Struthio camelus: one gene and its partner. The protein of the gene in region 2 binds, or shares a complex with, the protein of the main gene of each other region. Links are inferred from orthologs where the notes say so. Each region holds a gene or a part of one and is shown on either strand. Other genes may lie near its edges. The genes, in order: ERCC3 and GTF2A1.

What was found.
Region 1: GTF2A1 (region 2) and ERCC3 share a complex: the UniProt entries of both Homo sapiens proteins name them as parts of the TBP-based Pol II pre-initiation complex. The link is inferred for Struthio camelus from reciprocal best matches to the Homo sapiens genes GTF2A1 and ERCC3.

Annotation. Positions count from the first base shown.
Region 1 is NC_090947.1:29,888,263-29,896,083, reverse strand, and holds the start of ERCC3 (general transcription and DNA repair factor IIH helicase/translocase subunit XPB), read right to left. Parts: upstream 3,511-7,821; 5' UTR 3,433-3,510; coding exon 3,414-3,432; intron 3,339-3,413; exon of another isoform or gene 3,317-3,338; coding exon 3,111-3,316; intron 2,123-3,110; coding exon 1,886-2,122; intron 1,238-1,885; coding exon 1,188-1,237; intron 1-1,187. UniProt on the Homo sapiens protein: ATP-dependent 3'-5' DNA helicase/translocase. Binds dsDNA rather than ssDNA, unzipping it in a translocase rather than classical helicase activity. Component of the general transcription and DNA repair factor IIH (TFIIH) core complex.
Region 2 is NC_090946.1:60,987,688-60,995,617, forward strand, and holds the start of GTF2A1 (transcription initiation factor IIA subunit 1), read right to left. Parts: upstream 3,466-7,930; 5' UTR 3,215-3,465; coding exon 3,185-3,214; intron 2,267-3,184; exon of another isoform or gene 1-2,266. UniProt on the Homo sapiens protein: TFIIA is a component of the transcription machinery of RNA polymerase II and plays an important role in transcriptional activation. TFIIA in a complex with TBP mediates transcriptional activity.

The DNA of each region.
Region 1 (7,821 bases), on a different chromosome or scaffold from region 2:
GAGCATGTATTGTTATCAACCTTGCCCAAATTAGCTGCCATAGATATAACATGAATAGGAAAACTCCAAAAGAACTGCCTAGACAGAGCTGAATAGTCCTCTAACATTATAGTCTCATTTGTCATAGGAGACAATTTTTTTTGAGACTGAACTGAGGTGAGTCTGTGAAAATTCTGGAGGTGGTGTCCTAGCCACAAGACCAAAAAAAAAAGAGACAAGAGTCAAAACACAAACCCTCCAAAAATTTAACCTTGAGCATCCTGAATTTTTTTTTCCCTTGAGAGTCATCAATAACGACGGTCATTGGAGAGCACAGTTAAAATGTGAACCAAGAGAGACTTAAATCTGAACAGGCAAAGGGGAAATGTTTTTCTTGGAGACATCTAATAAGACAATAAAAGCCTGCTAATAATCCTAGCATTAGTTTTAGAATCAAAAAAGAAGCAGCAGCACACTAGATTAGAGTCCTAGGGCTCAACTGCGGCTGTAAGACAGAAAAGAACTTTATGAAGAAAAGAAAGGGAGACAGGGATAACACAGGAAAGTGTTAGGAGAAGTTTGAGTTTTCTGCTTTCTCCTTCCCTCTCCTCTCGCTACCTCAAAATCATAGGTTTACATAAAACCGGTTAGCTCTAAACCAGTGGATCTCTCAAGATTCCTTCCAACTTTATCTTCCATACATAGAACACATCAGATTCAATCCAGTAAGCAGATTTCACACAAACACACGCCTCTTGTCAGGCCACTTGCTTGTCCTTCCTGAATAACAGATTACAAATAAAAACACATGAGACTGAAGGACAGCTGTAGAAAAGCTTTCTAACCTAGATTCTTATAAATTGGGAGTGAATGAATGAAACAATTATCTGAAAACCTTAATGAGACATTGCAAGTCCAAGCAATAAAGAAACAAGCTAGAACATCAAATTAGTATCCTGTTGCAGTAACGTAATGATCAGCACCAGGAGCTCAGGAGAGTCAAACTGAATGCATTGACTAATGCATTAAATGCTTTGAAACAACTGAGAATATGATCTTGTGGTAATGTATGTCGCAATCAACTGGGAGCTGTAACGCAGTTTTCAACTCAACAGCTACTGAGACCACAGTCAGAGTTGTTTATGTACAGCGGTGCGCTTGTTTCGAAGACTTCCTCCTCCATGCTAATTAAGGAAGAAGCTGCTTACCTGTTGTGTTTCAGTACCAGCTTTACCTTCCCATAGCTGACAGTACACAGCTACAAACAAATAAGAATAGTCATTAGGAACGTATAAAGGATTGTTTCTAGGTTTGGGATCAGATACTGCAACACATTTCCATTTTTTGTGGGAAAGGGCAACAGAGTCAAACATTTACTTACAGTGTTATTATGCTTAGGGAAAAAAAACTACTTTAACAACTACTTTCAGATTATGCATACATCATCTCACATAGGAGATCAACCACAGACATTCAGTTTTTATATTCAATTCCAGTCTCCTTCTAGGATGGCAAAAACACACTTGCAAGATAAGGAGGCTCTGTTTTATAGTGCACCAACTACTCCAGCTAACTTCCCACATTACTAACCTTCAGAGTAAATATGAGGAAGCTTACTCCACGTGCGTTTCCTCTGGCCTAAAGCATGCACACTAAGGCTTTGTTTTAGGACCTCCATTTCAAGCTATAAGCCACATATAGGCTACATTATGAAAATATTATTTGTGCAACCATGTATCTTATTTTTTGTCTTTATCCACAGTAAAGTCTCTGACCTCTTGAAACAGAGTAACAGGATAGAATATGACTGTGAAAGCAATGAGTGAGTAAAAACCAATGAAGCAGCAGCAGCAGCAGGAAGAGATTTCCGCAGTAGCAGCAGATAAATTTCCCATAATAGGCTTACCTTGATAAACTGAATTATTCCATCTGGGACACCAGTCTTGCTCAGTTTTTGTAAATACTCTGTGATGTCGCTTGTTTGTAAGCCAACACTAACAGCAGCATAAAGCGAGTAAGCAGTCAGCTTGTATTCATGGATGTGTGTTGGTCTGCACACTGGCTCAGCAATAGCAACCAAAAAATCCTGTGCGTATTTGTAAACTGGAGAAAAGGCTTCCAGAAAGATATGGCCATCAGGAGCCTACACAAGGAAGAAAAAACATGCTGAAAGCACACCAATGTTAGTTGAGAAAAACAAGGAGTGTCCTGTCAAACAGCTGTTATGACACAGAATGACTTCACTCTTTAGGTGATAACGTTATCACCACGTTTCAGAAAAAGTGACGACCCTAACAATGAAATTACAACAAGCAGAAATAATATAATTTTATAAACAAGACCTAAATTAAAGAAATGAAGAAACTAACACAATATACACTGTATATCACTGTAGCTGTTTCTCCCCATCAAGGTGTTGAGACTCTTTAAAAAAAAGAGAAAACTTTACACAGAACTACAAAAACTGACAAGACACAGAAGGAGATACAGGAATATGAAACTTTCATCTTCTGCGTTTGTCAGTAGCCTTTCTAGGATGCTAACAAAAAAAACACATCCAGATTGATTAAGCTTTCTAGACTAACATCTTAGCCTTTTTCTCATTCTTTGTTTTAACAATTAAAAAAAAAAATACATTTTCTTGCTCCAAACAGGAGCAAGCTTCCAAACTTCCCTTCCTCCCCGTCCCCCATTTTACCAGAAGGAAGAGAGGAGGAAAGGTGCCAACTGTGTTTCACAGCATTCAATAACAGACACCCTGCAGAAGCTGGCAGGGCAGCTGCCTCTTCTAAATATGCTTTCGCTATTGGCCATGTTTTACATAGGTTTCTTGACTTCCCTTTTAACGCAGAGAAAACAAACGGTACCAGATAGGGGATATCAGACCACGTTGATTAGTGACGTTTCATTCCAACGTACAAACCAAGTTACTGCGTGAGGGACCAACGCATCCTACTTGTCTTATTAACTCCACCGGTTTCTGCCAGAGCCGGTTTCGCATTCCTCCCGGAAACAGCTAGCTAACGTACTCGTGCTCCCCCAACCCGTTAAGGTGACTGCACGCGTGCAGAAAGGAGCGCCCGGCGCGGCGGCCCCCGCCCGCCCCCGCCGGCCGCGCGGCCCGCACGCACCACCCAGAGGGGCCGCGAGGCGTGGTCGGCCTTCAGCGGCATGTGCTGCCGGTAATCCTTGGCGCCGTACTCGTCCACCCGGGCGCCGCTCTCCTCCACCTGCTTCCCGGCCGCGGACGGCACCGCTTCCTGCGGGTCTTTGCCGGCAGCGTCATCGTCCTCCTCGTCGTCCTCTTCGTAATGGCGCTTCTTGGACTTCTTCTTGTCTGCGAAACCATCAGGAGCGGGGTGAGCGGGGGGGGGGGGGCGTTGAATGGGGGGTGGGAGCCGGACCCCCCCCCCCACCGCCCCCGCCGCGCTCACCCCGCTCCTTCCTGCCCATGGCCGCCTCGCCCCGCAGTGTGGGGGGGGGAACGGTCGCGTCACTTCCGCCGGGGAGGGGCGTGACGTCACGGCCGCCCGCCGCGCCGGGGGCAGAGCGGGAAGTGGAATATTCCCGTTTGGGGACGCTCAAAGCGCCGTTTTCGGCAGGCGCCGCGGCCGCCCGCGCAGGGGAGGGAGGTGGCTGCTGCCCGCCCGGGCGAACGGAAAGGCAGCGACCAGCAAGAAAATAAAACAGGTAAATACAGAGAAACTGGTTTAAAAAAAAATCAAAAATGTTTATAATTTTTTTTTAAACAAGAACAGTTTTGAAAACATAACAAAGTCAAACGTGCATGAGAGGCGACGGACAGAGCGCACGGAGTCGGTCAGCTCTTTCTGAGCTAGGGCTTAAGGACAAGGCAGCAGCGCGCCGCGGGACTAGCGCGACAAGCCTTCCTTGGCACCGCTTTAGGCTTTCTGAAGAGCACTGGAAATTCAGGTGTTGGATTGACATGCTGCTCGTGTAAGAGAGTAGGCCAAGTCTTTAAAGCATGTTGCCAACGTATGACGTTCACCCATCAGCAGGGGGACAAAGGTGCTTTAATCTTTTCCCAGCATGAGCGAAGGAGCAAGGGAGAGGGGCTGCCAAGGAGAGCCCGAGGCAGACCGGGGCAGGGGAGCGCAGAAGGGGCTTCCCCGACTGGTGTTGTCTTCCCCCTTCTTTATTCCCCAGTCAGCTCTGGGGATTCAAAGATTGCTTTTCACCTTTTCAGAACAGTGTATTTTCTCTGCATCAATTAAATACTTCAGCATTTGGGGTTTTTTGTCCGTTTTTTTTTTTTAAACAAAATTCTTAAAAGAGAAATCACACTGTTGTCCCTACAGAGTGTTTTAATATCATCTCTAAAGTACAATTCGTGTCTGATTTTGGAAATACAAATACATTTTGAATGGTTAAAAACAAAAATTAAAAAAATATTTTGAACATCAGCCAGCTGAAAATATATTTATCTAGTAAATAATCTCTCAAAGCTTTTATATATTTAATTATTCTAACTAAACATAGTACCCTTAAAAAACAAGTTCATAAAAATGTAAAAATGAAATTGTGGAATAAGATTACTGGGATATATATATATACACACAACCATTCAACGCATACATAGAATTACAAGTACCCTTAAGTTTGGAAGGTTGTTAGACAAATGGAACTAGTAAGCAACGCTCAACTCCTGAGTTCCTCAACCAAGATAACCATAGGCTAATTTTTAATTTTTTTTCTTTTTTATACACAAGATATTCCATGTAAAGCAGCAACAGCAGTGCAGTTACTGATAGCAACATCTCAAAAGTAATAAAAAAACCATACATCCAGACAGTAGTACATTGCACACACACGTGATTCTCATACGCCCCTCAACAATTGGTCAGAGTATTAAATCAGTGTACAAATTAAATATTTCCAGAAATGTGCAAAAAAGTCAACGTTGATAGAAAAAAACACCTTTGTGTACATACATTACAAACTGTGCCCAGCATTCAACTGAGAGTAAAAACATTTACAGTGAGAAACTGATAGATTAAATAGAGAATTTAATGGCTACATAAAAAAATGTACATTAGATCAAGAGTAAATTTACAAATTTTAATTCCTAGCTTCATGAAAACTAAAAGCCTACGTTCCAATTTATCTAAGTCTCCCTCCACATATTTACAATGATATTCCTTTATATGACTTGCGTGAGGTCTGAGATGACAGACACTATTTTTCATAATAAACTATTTCAATTTTAGGATGACACCACCTTTTAAACTGGTATTCATGAGAAACAAACACTAGGAAACTGACAATCTGATGCCTGTTCAGAAAAGAAAATGCAATCCTTGTTTTTAAATCCACATTATATACTCTTTGGGGAAAAGGATAAGCTATTATTGGGGGAAAAGACATGAAAAACATTTGAAATATTTCCTGCAAGTAGCCACTCTAGAGTTACCATATCCTTTTCCTTATTTCCCCACAAAAGACCTTGACCTCCAGTCCTGATCAGTGGACTCAGAGTAAGGACTGAATCACAAGATAGGATTTTAACGTATTTAATCCAGTTCCTCTCCCTTTAAAGCAGGTTCATGAAGAAATAAGACCTAGCCAAAGCATGACTGCTAACACTGTTTGATACACGAGAATTTTCTCCATCTCCCCTTGCCCCTCAAATATACGGATGTATACATTGCTAGAGAGAAACCAACCAGTTGCTTTATGTAGCACAGCGCGTGGCCACGAGAGTCACCTGCCAAACTCCCCGTATGGCCAGGAGCTGCAGGACACGGGTCGCATCCCCGGAGCGCAGGGCCGCGCGACGCTGCTCTGCCCCAGCGCGCCCACCCCGCAGCCTGAGCCCGACTCCCTCCAGCAGCAGGGATCTGCAGGGCCTCTGACTCCCGTGGCGGAGCCGTGGCATTTCGCTCTATGTTAACGCTCGTGAAATTCAGAAGCTATCGGTGGCCACCACCTACGCAGTATTTCAGTAATGCCAATTAAAATGAAAAAATGGACTGTGCATAGGCAAAGCAGAGAAAATAAAATGAAAAAAGATCCTTTGCTTCCGATCAAGAATTTTGAGTTAGAAACCCCAGTTTGGAAGCAATTCTGCCCCCTTTGGTGTGCGTTTGGGGCTCCTCTTGAAGGCAGCATACACCCCTTAAAGTTGTGGGTGAGATCTGGCTCTGAAGTAAAACAGACTGCTTCGCAGCAGCTTTGAAATTTTCTTATTGTGGAGCACAGAGCAACGTGGATCACGAATCTACTTTTCTTCATGGTATTCCGTAAGTGTCCCAAAACTCAAACCTGGCTACAAAGTAAGTTGCCAAATGCAGTCACCAAGCTTGTACGTTATTTTTAGAATGACATCGATAAGATTAAGTTAAAAAGAGTTTTAAAAAACAAACTCTTCATTTTAATGCTGGCATGAATTTTGCACATCAAAACAGCAACAACAAACACCCAAATCTTTTAAATATGGGCAGTGTCCATCACTTTTTACTAGTACCTGCTTTCTTCAGTTAGCGATAGCTTACTGACATATATATGCGTATATAAGGAACAGTACTAATCCATGAAACATCACTTTTGGCTATATGTAGATGGGGATAGAAAAGCTTTGGTAATTGTATGTGATTTTACACTGCATACTTGTCATGAACACAAGACAGCAAGTTACCAGCAAGAAGAAGAGATACTGGCAGTAATACTTTTGCTTTTCCAGAAACACCATATGGACTTACATTCAAGCACACAAGTTACGCTTTTTCATATGCATGACAAACTTTCAAGACTGAAAAAAAAAAAATCAAAATTCAATTTTAAGTAACTATAGATCTGATCAATTTGCTCAAGTCTCTGAAGCTGCATACGCATTGCTCTATGTTGTCTAAAAAGAATGGCTTGCTGTACTGCACTGTACCTCCTGGTGCTGCAAGAAGGCTTTCAGTCAAGACAATGGCAGGATTAGGATTATCTAACAGAAACAGGGAACAGTTTAACGGGAACAAAGCTAGCTTCACTGAGGAGTTTGCCGAACTGCTAAATCAGAACTAATATTCCTCTATATTGAAAGTAGACAACTTTGAGTACAGTAACATATTTAGAAGTACACCAACCGTCACTTACTAGCCCATTAAGAACTTTTAAGATCTCTGCAGTAAAACCAGAGTCTAGTACCCAGAGAGCTAGGAAACTGTATCTTGGCTGTAACAGCGTCTGTATGAGTGCAGAGAAGTAGTTTTTCTGCATCAGTTTACAGTCTCCAAAATGCAATATGAAAACTGTATTAGCTTAGGTAGTACTCATCAGGAAGTACTTCAAAAATCACTTTTTTAAAGTCTCAATTTAAAAGTCTACAGCAGATTACACATGAAGAACACTTTTCAATGCAGTTAGTGAATTTTGGTTTGGGCACTTGAGAAATGTACTCAAAGACTGTTTTGGTGACACAGAATTGTACGACAGCCATAGCATTTCAATACGGTGTTCAAATATGAACAAAACTAAGGCATACAGATAAAAAGGCACTAGCTAAAAAACCAGCTGTTAAATAACTTATCATGCTGGTATACTGAGAGGACTGTTTAGCTACAGTAGGAATTGCAAATCAAGTGAGTTTTTAAGACTAAATTAAAACTGAGAAAGTAACAGATTTATCAATCAAGAAAAAAGTCAATTATACCCATACCTTTTTTCTGTACTGGCATGGATATTATCATCCTCCAAATTAAAAATGAACAATCTGCTCCTCGAACAGGACTGGGCTGGATCAAGGCTCACCCATTTGTGTTCCCATCAAATGGAACTTGTGTGAACGGTTATTCATCATTTTCCTCATTCCAGCCAAAGTTGGTTAAAAAATAC
Region 2 (7,930 bases):
AACTAGCAAGCTATTTTAAGAACCACCATATGCCTTTGGGGACTTATGTTTCCTGCATTCCACCAGAGTTTCGAGGGTACTGGAACTGCACCTCTTTGTAGGTCTTATTACAACGCCCAGGATTTCAACAGTTGGGATTCCAATAACCAATATATTATGAAGAGATATTGCTGTCTAATGCAGAAAGCCTGCAGCATGTTTGTCCCTGGTTACTTCTGCAATTATCTCTGAAATACCACCAATCAATTCCTCTTGCCCATGGAGCTCCTTTAAGGATAGCTAGAACATATTGTAAAGGTAACTAGTTTCAGTTACAATTACATCAAACAGGTGCATAAAAAGAAGTAACACTTTATAATATATATTTATAAGCAATTACTGCAGCTGTCAGACTTTTACAAAGGAATTACTTTCATCACCTACAAAATCTTTTACTGCATATAAACATTAACATTTTATATGCCCTGTATTAGGGAGAACACACTTCTAGCAATTGAGATTTGATCAGATGTTGACATGATGCTGTTGGAAAAGTCTAGCCTGCTAAAGTTATCATGCAGCTGCAGTGTTTCAAACTGCTCTTAACCATAGGGTTATCAAAGTGGGCAAGTGCAGTCGTTGTTACTACTGAATGAAATTTGAATTTTACAAAGTTAACCGTGCACTACTGATCGCAATAGGCAGATCTTTGCAAGGTTCTGCTTAGCTGAGAATCAGCCTAAAGCATAGCTAGCTTCATCAGGCTCATTTTAAGTTTTGCCTTTGTTAATTTGAACAGAATGTTCAAACACAGACATTTCCCGAGAGACTTTCACAAAGGTTTTGTTATTCCAGTATAGAGATACAGCCCAGAGAAAGCAAGCCTGAGTAAACTGCTGCAACAAAGATATTTACAAGTACTTTGGAGATTATTCACAGTAATATCTTTTTTCTTCTATTCATTACTAACTTGATTAAAAAAAAGGGGGGGGGAGGGAGGGAGGGAGAGAGAGAGAGAAGTAAAACCTCTAATTTACTGTACAGAAATAACAGAAATGGAACCTTTTCAACTAAAAAAACAAAGCCAGAGGTTTATGAAGAGAAAGATAACTAACAGATTTAGGTCACACACATGATATGCTTTTACTGAGCAACTGCCCTGCATGTAATCACTGACTAATTTTCTAAGACTCTCTGATGCAAAATCTGCTAAAATATCCAAGCAACAGATGCTACCTGGCGACTACATGACTCTACATCATAAGCAGGTCTGTGAAATTTCAGATTTGAAAGAAAAAAATAGTATGTTTTACATTTGCTACTACTGCTATTTTAAGCAGCATATAAAATAATTAAATAATTAATAATTGGAATTAAATGAAAAAATAGTAGAATTCTAAAATCTTTGCTCTTCCCAGTCTGTAATAAAAATATTTGCATGCTCATTAGCTTTTGTCACCAGAAACACTCCCAAGTATTTAAGTAGTACCTGTGGCCCATTACCCACAGACAAAACTTTAATATTAATTAATGATGCTTTTAGCTCCAGAGCTGCTGTCAGCCCGCGCTCGGACCTTGGCAAAGTGCCTAGGACAAGTACCACATCTCTTTTTGACACACTGGATCTGAATCATTTAAATTGCTCTTTCCCTACCCGGCAGAAAGGCTATTTAGAAGAGCTTATGGGCACACAGGACTCTGCACTCTCTAAGAAGAAAAAAAAAAAATCCCACCCACAAGCAAACAAAAAACAAACACTTTCACAACATGGGAAAGGGTGAAAAATCCCTTCCTTTGTGCAATGCATAAATACAGGGGAAAGTCCATTTACACCAGCGATCACCAGTCAGGAGAGCATCCCCTCTACTCGAGCCGACAGAAAGCACAACTGCTTTACAGCCCGCTCGCTCCAGCGACTGGGACTGAAGAGCAACAGCCGGGCGCAACAGCAAACCCAGCTAAACCCGGCACAGGATCCGAGTGACAAAAAGACTGTCTCTCAGCCTCTGCCTCTGATGCATGCACCTCCCAGCCCGCTCTCCGCGGCTCTCTCCCTATTTAAAGGCTGATGTGGTGTTTAAATGGAGAGGCGGTGACGTGGGGCTGGAAAGCACCTTCCCATCCAGGCAGAGTCTATATTAGAGAGCGGCAATAGCTCTATATAAACAGGGCAGCCGCAGGGAGGAGGAACACAAGGCGCAGGGAGACAGAAAGGCAGGGGCGGCCATGATGGATCCCAGCGCCACAAACAAGGGGCCAAGCCCGCGCCGGGCCGCCTGGATTCCCGGTTTGTCTCGGCGGTGCGGGGGCGGGCTCGGGGCCGGTTGCGGCGTAGAAAGGGGAAAAGGCAAGAAGCGATCGGTGGGGCTCGGTGGCTACGCAGGTTTATGTGACTGCTTATTGCAAACCTATGTGAATACCAGTACAACAGCAAGCCACCCAAGAAGGTGCAGAAAGCACAAGAAGGTGAAGACCGGGGAGGGGGGGTAAGAGTTTTCTTTCTTAAAATAAATACTTCCTCGCTCGCTGGAAAAAAGTTAAGGGCTTTCGCCTCGTTTAGCCGATCCTGCAGGGCTGGGATAAGTGCTTTTCAACCATCGTCGCCTCGTTATAAAGCAACATAAAATGGCTCCAGCAGAGCCCGGGCGGGTTTCACCTCACAGACACCACAAAACCGAAACCTGGCCCGAGTGCCGCTTCCCCTCTCGCCGGGACGGCAGCGGCGGCAGGCGGCGGCCCCGCGCCTCGCTCCGCTCTCGCCCCCGTCCCGGCGGCTCCCTCCCGCGCCCCCCGCCGCCCCTCCCCTCCCCTCCCGTCCCCACCGGCGGCGGCGCGGCCCCGGCCTCCCCGCGGGGCTCCGCGGCCCGCCTTGGCCGCCCGCGCCCGGCCGCCGCCGCCGCCTCCCCGCGCCCCTCGGCGCCGCCGCCGCCGCCCGCCGCTCCGCTCTCTCCTCCCCGCCGCCGAGGCGGCCGGCGCCGGGCGCCACAAGTGGGCTCCCCGCCGCGCCCCCCGCCGCCCCCGCCGGGCTGCCCCTTCCCGCCGGGGGTGGGGGGGGAAGGGAGAGAGACAGAGAGAGAAAGAGAGACGGGACTGTCCGAGGCGGCGGCGGGCGGGAAGCAGCGCGGGGGAGGGGGCAGCGAGCCCTGCCGGCCCCCGCTGCCTGCGCTGCCCCCGGGCCCCCCTCGCCCCCCGACCCGGTCCTTACCACGGGGTTTGTGTTAGCCGAGCTCGCCATGTCCCGAGCCCCCCGGGACGCCCCCAACCGCGGGGGGAGTCGCCCCTAAAACAATAAACCTGCCCGGCTGCGTCCCCCCAAAATCGCGCGCGTCCCGCCCCGGCTCACGGGCAGCCCCGCGGCCTGGCCCGGCCTCGCTCGCCGGCCCTGGGGCTGCAGCCGCCGCCGCCAGCCGCCCGCTCTGCCCGCTTCGCCCCTTTATATAGCGAGAGCCGAGCAGCTGCGCGAGCGGCCAGGGCGAGAGGGGGACGCGGGCGGGGGGGGGGGGCGGCGAGGCACCGCGAGAGCCTGCGCGAGAGCGCGCCCTTGCGAGCGCGTCACGTGAGGTGCCCGCCCCGCCGCCATGACACTTACTGAGGCGGAAGTCGGTGCGGAAGGTCACGCACCGCCTTCTCGCCACCGCCAGGCGTACCGAGGCGGAAGTCGCCGCGTTGCCGCCTCACCGGCTAGAGGCGGTGGGAGCGAGGCGCCGCCTCTCGCCGCGTGATGTCACCGCGCCAGGCGCTCGCCTGGCCGTGGCTGCTTCTGCCGCCGCCGCCGCGCCGCCCCGCCTCGCCTCAGCGCGTCCGGGAGCAGTGGGCTGCGGCGGGGCGGGGTGGGCCCGGCCCGGGGGGCTGCCGGGTGCCCTCAGGCAGCCGTTACACTAGGAGGCCTGACTTCAACCGAGCTGGCACTTAACTGCTGGTCGTGAGCCGGCAGCCCTTGCCAGCCAGGCACGGCAGAGCTTAAACCACTCCGACTACGTTTGTAGGAGCCCTCTGCTCCCTGATAACCAAACAACAACAGAAATCCCCAGCCTCGCTCTCCCTGCCCCGTAAGGACACACGTCTTAAACTCAGCCTCGCCCGATGGGGGCTCATGCCTTCAGCCACCAGCAGTTACACAAAGCAGCCACGGGCCTAAGGCCTGTTTCTGTCAGCCACAGGCCCCAAAGTGCTTCCAAGCTCCGCAACGCACTCCAGGCTGGTGATAGGAAACCTAGGCTACAGCTTCCCCGGGCAGGGAGAAGGTTAAAATCAAAAAGTCAGCAGGGTCCTCCATCAGGGACTCACTGTGGCCCTCAGACAATGTTGCGTTGGGCAGAACTGCTTCCTTTAGCTGATCCTGATGGAGTCAGTGGCCGCAGGGTCTCCCAACTGCACGAGGAGTTGTCAGAGCCATGCCAGGTGGCTTCTCGTTTCCCCTCTTTATTGCCTCTTCTCCCTTTCCTTATCCCCCTTTTTCATGGCAACCTGTAAGACACATAATGCAGGAAAATCCTTTCAACCTTGAATGCTGTTAAATGGAAATTAGGTTCACTCACCACTGCCATCTTCACTCAGTCCTTTTTAGTGCAAGTTTTGAACCCAACTCATCCTGTAGATTATCACCAATAAGTCACCTGTGTAAGTCTCACTCAGACATAAAGTAATGCTGAATTCTGACTCCTCACACATAGAGCATAGCATGTTACACCTCCTCAGCATGAAGACTGTGCGACTACTTGTGACCTTCAACCTAACGCCCTACCCATTAAGTAGCAAGTCTGAGAACAACCGTCTGGTATCCTTCAGTAGGAGGGAACGTGCTGGCCGATACAAAGACCTTCCTGTCCCATCCCATTCTTCCAAATTCTTCAGTTCTATAGTGATGAATGCTTCCTCTCCCATCTGAAACGCAGACTTTGTATAGGGACATGACAGATTTACAGCGGGCCATCTGATGGACCTACTCTTCATTGCGTGATCTGCTGGAGCCCTGGCAGAAAAATAGCCTGAACGTGAGACTGTTAGCAGAGTTTACAAAGTTTTACCTTCCTCAGCTGTCTGCTCCACCTTTTTGCTGGGCATTTCCACTCCCATGGCAGAAGTGACAGGACTGAAGGGGTGCTACCTCCTCAGCAGCCATAATTCATGATCTAACATTAGCTAAACCATGCATGAACTACAGGGACTGAAATGCTAGTATTCCTTTACTGCCTACTTATCAGAGACATCAAACTCTCTCAGAGAGTTTGTAAATTGGACTTGTAAATTGTCTAATGCTCACAGTCAAAGCCTTGCATTTTCCACAGCTGAAATAACTACACAAATAGTCACTCAAAACTTGAAGAAGAGGTTTTAGCAAAGGTACATTTATTTTCTCACAGCTAGGACAGGCTGAGTTCACACATGGTTAGTTCTCTCACTCGCTCTGTCTCCTGCTCTGCTGAAGTGACAGGCAGTAACTAGTGTGCCACCAGGAATGAATCATATTGCCTTGAAAAGGGGAGGGATACAAGTGGCACTGGAAAGCTACAGTTCCTTTCCTTAGATAGACCTAAGCCTACCCTGGTTTTGAGGGCGGCCCACCGAGCCATTCAAAAATTAACAGGTGGACATGGTAGCAGTAATGGTTCAGTGAGGTGTCATACTGCTTTGTGGAACAGGCACACAGTTCAGTAGACTATGCTCCTAGGTTATCCTGTGTGCATAGCCACAGTTTCCAATGATATCCAGGGAATCTGTGGCACTGCTAACTTCCAAGAGCTTCTAAAAGAACGTTGCTATGAGGAAAATCAAGGCCTCGTAAGAAATGCCCTACTGAGTCGGGTAGCGCTCTGGCTAATCCGGTGGCAGTAAGATTTACTACTTAGGGAGAGCAAGTGAGTTGTTAGCCGCTTTCTGAAGTCTGTTCGCCTTCCTGCTTCGCCAGCATCCACAGCTGTCCTGTTGTACTCATGTTGGTGGGTTCTACTTCATTTAGCAATTCTGTTAGACTAGAGTAACATAAGTGTGTACCTATGGTACAGTAGGAACACTGATAACCTGGATAGCACTAGTATACATAAACTGACAGACAGCATAACCACTAGCATTAGCTATGTTTATCCATTAGCATTCTCTTTTGTTTGCCAGTCAGGAGTGGATCATACTAAGCTTATGTGCTATCCTGTCTTTTTTCTACCAAAGGTTTCTGTCATTGCCAAGTCAGCCTGATTTTGCTGCTCTAATAGTGCAAGTTTCAGTGTTGACTGGACGTTCATGTTATAGCGGCTGTACCATCTAGACGTGAACTCCATAGTGATGCACATTATATTACTTTATACCCAGTATGAAGATGACAACATTTGGGTCCTCTCCTTCCTTCATCGCAAAAAGAGTGCCAAAGATGGAATAGCATAAGGAAAAAGCACAATACTGCCTTAGATCAAAAAACAATCCTTGGCATGCTGAGTGAGGACATACATTACAAGAAGAGTCCCAAGCTCAATCCTAGGTATGATCAACAATCTTTCTAAATCTAAATCATTTCTAATCTAAATGTTTAGGACAAAGACACACAAATCATCTTTTATAGCCAAAGCCATGCACTCAGAGGTGCACAGCCTACTTCAGTGCCCTGAATGATTCTGTTCTGTAAGTGCCATAAGCATCCCTTGCTCTCAGTGGAGCAAGAAAGTGACTTACTACTGCAACATTAGTTTGTTAAGTTAATGTAAATGTTTATGGAAATGTTCTTAGCACCTCTCCTTTGTGGTGCGTCACAAAACTACATCTTTTACAAGAAGGGTTTGGGGTTTTTTTGTCTTTTTTTGTTTTAATTCAGATGTAGGAAGGGGGGAGCCATTTTCATTATGATTTTTGGGTTGATAACACTTCCATCCTAAGGTTCTTTGCAAGTACTAATGGACTGCTACTAATGCATAGCATATCTTTCAAGAAGATATTTTGCAAAAGGAGAACTGATGTAAGAGGGATAAAAAATATTTGCATAAATACTTGCTACTGGCAGGAGCAGACTTGAAATTCAAAGGTGATAAGTATCTGTAATTTCCATGAAAGCTGCGGGCTAGTTCAACTGAAAACAAGAACCACAAGATCGTGATGCTTTCTTTAGTATTAAGTCAAGATAGATTATATTTATGACCTTCAGCTTTTTATTTATCTCTATTTTTTTTTTATTTTTAAATAGAGAGGCTTTTTGGCTCATCTGAAGAAAATACAAAGAAAAAAGTTAAGCTGATGTTCTCTCTCCCAAGAACAGATGATGAATAAGCCTAATCTCATACAACTAGAGGATCACTATCAGATTGCCCTGATTTTTCGGTGAAAACGTTTCTGATCATACAATGAATCACAGAGTACCTTGTATCAGATGTTGCTGACACAGTGCTTTATAATTTCTTAGTTCTGGAAACATCTGATAAACTTGGTAAGTGTAATTATGTAAACAGATTTTCCCCAGGGCTTATTTAGACAAGGAAAACAGAAATTGGCTTTAACTATATTATAGAAGTGCAAAGCTGTAACACAGATTATACAGAACACGCGTTACCACCAGCACATCTTCCAGTTTCATCATCCTTAGGTTTTGTCCACGCTACTGGTCTTTGCTACTGTAGTTGGGCAGGAAAAGTCTTCCACTATGGACATGACAGCAGCATACAGTTTTCAGCCAGTATATTACACTGTCCTACTAAATACAAGCTAAGCCAGCAAACACTTTTTAAAGGCATGTTTCGTGGCATAATGATAATATCAGGAAGGGAGAGAGGCTTTCTACCCCCTTCTTTCCTAACAGTTTCCCAAAAGAATGGGGAGTTACACATCTAACTTCCAACTGCAGCAGCACATATTAAAAAGATAGAAGAGGAGCATAGACCGAACCAAGTCAGTCTAGAAAACTTAACTGGAGAAAAAGATGCTTGAAGTTATGCTCACACATAAATTTAGAGCTTATACATCTAATTCACTC